2 linked regions of the Mus musculus genome follow. The protein of the gene in region 2 interacts with the protein of the main gene of each other region in a biochemical or structural test. Links are inferred from orthologs where the notes say so. Each region holds a gene or a part of one and is shown on either strand. Other genes may lie near its edges.

What was found.
Region 1: the proteins of Pkd1 (region 2) and Hdac9 form a complex in vitro, tested with the Homo sapiens proteins (2 studies listed by BioGRID, with this or other methods). The link is inferred for Mus musculus from reciprocal best matches to the Homo sapiens genes PKD1 and HDAC9.

What each region holds. Positions count from the first base shown.
Region 1 is NC_000078.6:34,914,250-34,918,627, forward strand, and holds the start of Hdac9 (histone deacetylase 9), read right to left. Parts: upstream 2,847-4,378; 5' UTR 2,805-2,846; intron 822-2,804; 5' UTR 750-821; intron 1-749. UniProt on the Homo sapiens protein: Responsible for the deacetylation of lysine residues on the N-terminal part of the core histones (H2A, H2B, H3 and H4).
Region 2 is NC_000083.6:24,573,867-24,577,471, reverse strand, and holds part of Pkd1 (polycystin-1 precursor), read right to left. Parts: coding exon 1,229-3,605; intron 1,035-1,228; coding exon 885-1,034; intron 1-884. UniProt on the Homo sapiens protein: Component of a heteromeric calcium-permeable ion channel formed by PKD1 and PKD2 that is activated by interaction between PKD1 and a Wnt family member, such as WNT3A and WNT9B. Both PKD1 and PKD2 are required for channel activity.

The DNA.
Region 1 (4,378 bases), on a different chromosome or scaffold from region 2:
CCCTAAGACAATAATATTGAATTTTCTTTGATGTTAAATTTGAACTTGGTGATCATTTATCAATGTGAGATGACTAAATTTGAAGTGCCTTTTCAAGGAACACTATTTTCAGTGCCTCTAAGAGTTAGTGTTAATTAAGCTATAAACAAAAGTAAATAAAATCATCTGGGTAGTGGTGGTGCACACCTTTAATCCCAGCACTTGAAAGGCAAAGGCAGGCAGATTTCTGAGTTCGAGGCCAGCCTGGTCTACAGAGTGAGTTCCAGGACAGCCAGGGCTACACAGAGAAACCCTGCCTCAAAAAACCAAAACAAAACAAAACAGTAAATAACCAGTGACTTAACAAACTAATTTTTTTTTCTAATTTAATCTTAGGTTTGAAGACTTTGGTATTGGTTTGGTGGCTCAAAAGCAAGGTTTTATGCTTTTTGCAAAACTTTTTCCTTTTGCAAAATGGTTGTTGCTCCAGCCATTAAATCTACTTTCTAGAAAATAAACAAACAAACAAAGCAAAACAAACCAAAAAAATCCTAGGCGTTAAGGACACATAAGATAGGCAGCACGTGCATCCAGAAAGCCAATAGTTTCCTCAAAATGCTGAACAGGCTTAAGCCTGATCTCACAGTCTCACTGAAGGCCAAGGTGGGGTGCCACTAGAGAAGGCTGATCCTTATTTGCAAGGAAAACGGAGAGGAACACGTTGCATTGTATTTATTATTTCCAATAGTGTTAAAAATTGAACCTGGTACCTTGTAAGTTTTCAACCTCTGAGCTACATCCATAGTCCAGCAAATATTTTCAATTCATTATTTTCCCAGCCTCTGTACCAGAGAAAGACAAGGGAAAGAGACTTATAATGAATCAGAGAACCATCCTAAAGTATCTTCTATCATTCCTAAAGGCCAATTTCCCTAAAAGTGAAGAATGTGTTAGCAAGATTTTGTAACCAAATGCTTTTTAGAGAGTGTGCTTTGGCTTGGGGAGAAAACTCACTTGGTAGAAATGAAACCTGGTTAATACTCCCCTGGTTAATCACCCACCTCTACAGAGGCATGAAAGCAAAACCCACAGCCAGGCATGACCGCACACACATGTCATTCCTGTGACAAGCAGATCCATGGGGCTACCTGGCCAGCCAGTGAACTGCCGTCAGCAAGCCCCAAGCCAGTATACACTTCCTCCAAGAGCAAGGTAGATGGCAGCTGAGGAGTGACATTTGAGGTTGACTTCTGGCCTACATATGTAGAGAGATAGGGGTATGAGGGACACAGATGTGAGACAGGACATATTTTGTTACAGAATATCATAGGTCATCAGCAGTTCATTCACCTGATTTTTAGCAAGTACAATTAGTTCAACTCAGTTTTACAAACGAAAATGAGATCCAGGTTTAAATAACAATCACGTTGCAGTTACTCAGGAGCTAGGACAGAGTCTGCTCTGTTCTAATGCAGACCTCTACCACAGCACACCATCCTCCACCCAGTCTAACTATGCCCATTGTGCCTGCTTGGATTAAGTCTGTATTTTGTTTCAAGCTCTTAAAAAGTAATGTTTCTCCTCTTTCCATCTTCTGAGCCAAGTTCCAAACTCTCAGTGTTGCAAAAACCCTTTGGCGCCGAATGGGTTAATGTTATGCTATGACCTTCACTTTCCTGCTGTCCCCAATCTAAATCTTCCATTATTTGATCCTGAGACTTTTATCTGCGGACATTAAACTCACTGAGCATAGTTTCCTTCCCCAAAGAGAACCATAACTGTCTACAAATGGGGATGTTCCCTCTGCTGTTCTTTGGAGACTGGAAGACACAGTATGTTCATTTCATAAAACAATTTAGAGAAAATTCTAATAAAAAGATCCCTCTGTTTCACAGTGATTATTAATACAAAGTTGTTTTGCAATAGCTGTGATTATTAAGATTTTTAGTACACATCATTTCACACACTATAATTTTTCTTATATTTTATGAAGAAATATTAGTGTCTGGAGTTTACATATCATGAGTTCTAGTTCTTTATTTATATTTGCATATGATTGCAAAATATTTTCAAAGTTCCCAGTGACTTAATTTCTGTTATTACTGATTTATATTTAAAATATAAAATATTATTTCATCTAAATTGAAAAATAGCAATAAAAAGCTTTTATATTACTCATGACTGGCAAAACTCTTTTAACAGGTAAAATACCAATCACTTCAGCTTAAATTTATACCGACTTCCAGGAAGCTCCAAATGAGGGCTCAAGGAACAAGGCAATGAAAGAACAGAGCACAGAACATGGAGCGTGGACTTATCAGAACATCATTTCTCTGAAGTCAATACTCAAAACAGTCAGGTGATAAATTTTACTAACCTTGCCTTCCTAATATTTCTTTATAAATCTTTCTCTTTGTAAATATATATATATTTACAAATATATATATATAATGCAAGGTTTGCAAATATCAGGATAATGAGCAAGTAATATCAATAGACAAGCAGTTATCATAAAATCTGTACTTCCTTTCTTTGATATGCACAATTGCAGACACCCTTCCTCCTCTGAAAGGTTTCTTCCTCCCCAGGAAACTGGCCTTTAACAGCTGAAGCACCAGTCTATTCCATGATGTCTTGCTTCCTGGACTCATGAGCACAGCTGCTCTGAAGTATCTCTGGATAGATGCTCTCACTAGAAAAGCTTGCCTTTCAAAGTCCCATATATCAGGTCACTTTACCATGCTTATCTCTGGGGAGTAGCTTAGAGAAAGACGTGTGTTCTTCCCATAGGAAGGAACCACAAGTAGTAACAATTCAATACTCACTTTCCTTATTGCTGCAACAAGATCCATGGTAAGCAGCAGCTTAAGGCAGAAAAGGTTCCTTTTGGTTTATAAGTTGAGAGTCTAGTCCATCACAATGGGGTTGGCATGGCAACAGATGCTGGGGGCAGCTGGCCACATAGCATTTTTGGTCAACAAAGCAGAAAGAAGTTAATGCTGGTGTTCTGCTCAGACAATAAGATGGTACCACCCACATTCAGGACAAGTCTTCTCTCCTCAGTTCAGCTTTCTGGAAATGCCCTCATAGACATAACTAGAGGAATAGTTCCTTTGTTCTAAATGTAGTCACTGACAAAAATGAAGGCATTTCATTCTTGAAAAGTTTACTTCAGCTTCATAATACGAAATATGCTTGGCTCATCTCTGCTTAGTACCAAGTACCATAGGGCTTAACAATCCCACACTATTCAAAATCTGAAGTACAAGGCAATCTCTTAAAGGTGAACAACTAAAAATTTTTTAAAACCAAATTAAATACTTCTAACATACAGTAACACAGAGACACACATTCTAACAGGAAAAAATAGACCACAGCAAGAAAAGCTTGATCCAGAGGAAGACCCAGACCCAGCAGGGCAAACTGTAGCTTCATATCCAGTATCTGTGGAGTTCTTGAGAGACTATTCCTGGCTCTAGTAGCACTGGCAGCCCCACTCCTCCCGGTCTGCTGCCTACAAAGCAGGAGCCTTCTCTCCTAAGCTAGCTCCACTATATCCCTTCAACTATCCCTGGCAGACGTCTGACAGTCCTGCATCTCCAAAACCTTACAGTGGCTACCACAGCTTGGGCTTCATCATTCCAGCCTCATGATTGGCCCCCAGTGGCTTCCTCACAGGGAGTCTAACCCTGTCATGCGAGCTGTTTTCTGGAACCTCGTGGTAAGCTTCCATGACTCTCAACGCCAATACCACGAAGAACTACAGACAACAAAGGAAGGATCATATTGAGAGATATAAGAAAGTCTTCACTAAGGAAGAACATAACAATTGTTTATTCAGTGGCCCAAATGGTCAGCCCTGAAACATATATAAGCAACATTATATAGTTTGAGCAGGTTATATTAGGAATACATATGTTTATGTGTTTGTATATGAGTCATCTCTGCACTACAAAATAGCCTCCGGCTGCTGTCTGCAGCGAGGGCAGAGTTCACGTCCCAGGTCACAGGGAGGTCTCCTGGACAACGTAGGTAGGGCTGCACGGCTGGTGGACGAGGCCATCTTCAGCCAATGCATATAACAATCATTGATCTATGAACAAAAAGGCTATGAATTTGAAATAGAGCAAAGAGGGCTACATGGGAGGACTTGGAGAGAAGGAAAGGAAGGGAGTAATGATATGATTATATTATAATCTCAAAGAGAGAAGAAAAGGAGATAAAAGACACACTTTTAAAATTAAAAATTAAAATTAAAATTAAAATTAAAAATTAAAAATTAAAAACAAAAAACAAAAAACAAAAAACAAAAAACAAAAAACAAAAAACAAACCCAGCACCTGGGTGACATCCACCGTGTACTGCTGCCAACTTCAGGTGCAGCCTGGTCCCTTGAAGC
Region 2 (3,605 bases):
CTGGGAAAGCTTCCTGGACCAGGTCACTCCCATTTGAAGCAAATTCCAGGTTGTGCCTCTGGAGTGAAGTAAGTGAGCTAACTAGCTAAATCCAGAAGGGCATGTGAGTGGATCAGCCCAGGGCCTTGCTGACCTGGCAGTAGGAGCCCATGGGCACCACTGATAGAAACAAAGCATCCAGGAAGTCAAGGTCAGTTGTTTTTTATATAGCTCTGTCCCAGAGATGCTGGCTGACTTGAGTGGGCCCTGGAACAGCTCAGTCAGGCAGGACCTACTGAGTGTCCTCTTCCTACCTGAGAAGGCTTAATACTGGGGAAGGCAGTCCCACTCCGAGGCATCAGGACTGCCCAGCCCCCCTCCACACACACTGGCAGGCCTCATCAGCCTGCAGGTGAAGTGGTCCTTATCCTTATGAAAGGTCCAGGGAAGAAGTATGACAGCAAGAATGGCTCACTGCCCCCAGAAGCAAGGCCATGTTATGTGGATAGGTGCTGCTGCCTAGGTAGGCAAGGGCCTTGCTTTCTCATTACTTGCCTTTCATGCTGGTAGCATAAAGTTCATTTTTCGAAAAGCAGGGTGCTTGTATGACTTAAGATTTTGTTTTGGTTTTCAGACACAGGTTATCATTGTGTTGGTGAGATTAGAACTTCCAGTCTTCCTGCCTCCACTCTCAAAGTGCTGGGATGATACAGGTGGCACCAGGCTAACCTGTCCTCTCAAATTTCACACTACTAATCTGCTGTGTCCTGGATTTTCAGATAGAAGCAATGCTGAGTTTGATCATTTATCAAGAGAACTCAGAGCCCCAGGGGCTGAAAAACACCAGGTTGGAACTGGTACTGCTCTTGCATGAGGACACACTGGAGGGTGGGGGTGTGACTCACTGTCTGGTTGGTGGCTTCTTCCTTCCGACCTGCTTTCCACACTATGAGGTTGAAGGTATATTCTACACCAGCTTCTAGGCGTTCCAGGGGGATGGTGACCACACTGCTCCCACGGGGCCCAAAGTTTAGCACGCAGCCACCTGTCTCACTCTGTGACAGCAAATAAGGAAATGGGGCACAAGATTGTTAACCACCCTTAAGGCAGAGCCTGGCTTAGAAAACCTTTTTTATGCTAGGCCTAAGACCCACCCCAGGAATAACCCAAGTGCTAGGCACTTAATAGACATGAAACACAAGATAGAAGAGTCAGGGAGGACCTGTTACTCTAAGTCCCCATGGCTGACCTGTGTTGAAGCCACGCAGGCCCAATGGAAGTTGAGCGGTGTCTGATCACCATCCTCTAAATTAGGGTCATAGGACTTGCTCCCATCCAGCACCAGGTCCTGCGTGTCTGACCATACCCGGTATGAGCCACCTTCAATGATGGGTACCAGACGCTCAGCAGCCACTGTCACATTGGCCTGGATGCTCCGTGCCAATGGTGTGTCCCCAAATGAAACCACAAACACAAAGCAGTAGTGGCCCACAGGTAGTGCCAGCCGTGGCACCACCAGCTGGGGTCGGCTCACATCCACACCAGGCAGTACCATTTGAGCCATACGTCCTGGCCGTTGGCAGCTGGCAGTACGATATATCTCCCACCGATATTCAGTCTGGTAGGAGACACAGTTGCGTAGATCAACATGGGCCTCCAGGTAGTTGCGCTGGGAACGCCGCATCAGCACCTGCAGAGGCAGTGCTACCTCCACTTCAGGCTCCCTACAGGCCAGCACCTGGACAGTCACTGTGGCCTGTGCCACAAAAAAACTCACTAGGTTTGTAGCATTCACCTCTACATGGTAGTCCCCAGGACGCAGGTAGTAGTGATCAGCCCAGAATTCCTCTGTTTTCTGTACCGGAGTCCCATCCCCAAAGTCCCAGTGGTAGGTTACACGCCGTGGACTGGGGCTTGTAGCAGCCTCAAACCTGGCTGAGCGGTTGGTAAAGCAGCGGCCACTCTGAAGTGTTACATACTGGATGATATCCTGGACTTCCACCATGAGTGTGAGGTTCACACCACCCAGTTCATTAAAGGCACGCACATGGATCTCCAGTAACCCTGCAGCCACAGGTGTGTAGGTGACATCACGGCCAGATAAAATAACCAATGAGTCACCCTGAACCTTTTGCAAGGAGAAATACCAGGCATAGGCAACTCGGGAACCTCGCTGCACCCGGGCTGTGAAGTTCTTCTCAGTGCCTGTGGCCATGCCTGGCTCACAGCAGTTGGGTACCTGCAGCCCAACAACAGCCTCCAGCACTAGGATGCGAACCTGTGCCTGGGCATGACTCACGTGGTTCTCAGCCTGCACATTCACCAGATGGTCTCCAACCCGAAAGAAGCTGTGGGAGAAGTGGGGGCTAGGGAGCACTTCAGGGACAGACCCACCAACCTGAAGTCGGAAAGTAAGAGCAGAGCCAGCTGCCAGCAGGATTTCAAAGTGGACTGGCTGCCCAGGCGCCACCACCTTGCTGCTGGCCCACAGCATCAGGTTCACAATGGGTTCCTCTACTGTGAGGTTGTACATGGCTGAGACCCAACTGACTGCATTGGAAGCATTGAGCTGCAGAGAGAAACTGCCAGCCGTGGAGAAGCGCACAGCAATGTACTGGCTGTCCTTACTCCCACCTGGCAAGGTCCAGCACCAAGTCACATTGGTACCTTCAGCCAGCTGACCCCAGAAGGGTAGAGTGGAGCCAGCTGCCACAAAGATGCTATCTGGCTCACTGGTTCTGATACTCAGACCACCCACAGGCACCTGTATGGCCACTTCAACTGTGGCATTGACTGAGCCCAACTGGTTCTCAGCTGTGACTCTGACCAAGTGCAGGCCAGGTGCAGCAAAGGTGTGGGTGGTAGATGGCATGGAGGTCTTCCAACTCAGTCCTTCCTCCAGGTACCAAGTGTAAACAACACCACTGCCACCAGCCAATTCAGCACAAAGGGTGAGACTCATGTTGACAGCAGCTGGATTAGGGGATGCAGATAGGATTAGACTCTCCACAGGTTCCACAAAGTCTATAGTACGGTTGGCTGCGGCACTACCCAACATGTTAGTGGCCCTAAGATGGACATAGTAGGTGCTAGCTTTGAGTGAAGTGAGAGAAAAGCACTTGCCACTGCCGAAGAGTGTGATGAGGCTGCCCTCCTGCTGCGCTGTCCAGCTATAAGAGATGTTGGTGCCATCCCTAACTGCAGCTTGCAGCTGCAGTGTGTAGTTGGTAGGGAAGCAGCAGCCGTTATCACCCCCTGCCACCTGCAGCCCCTCAATGAACTGGAGAACATAGATGAAGATGCTGTCCTGGGCAGAACCCACCTCATTCTCAGCTGTGACAATAATATTGAAGGTGCCCACAGAGCGGAAGGTGTAGGAAATAGTGGGTCCGCCTGGAATGGGTGTGCATCTGTCACAGAGCACCCAGGAGTAATGCACATCACTCCCTACCTCCAACAAGGTACTAAAGCTCACACTGCCATTCAGGGGCACCACTGTGCGGCTGGCATTGATGGTGAGGCCCCGCACACGCTGCTTTACGGTGATGTTGAGTTGGGCCTCACTACGGCTCACCTCATTCCAGCCAGACACCCTGACAGTGAAATCACCGGTGCTGCTGTAGATA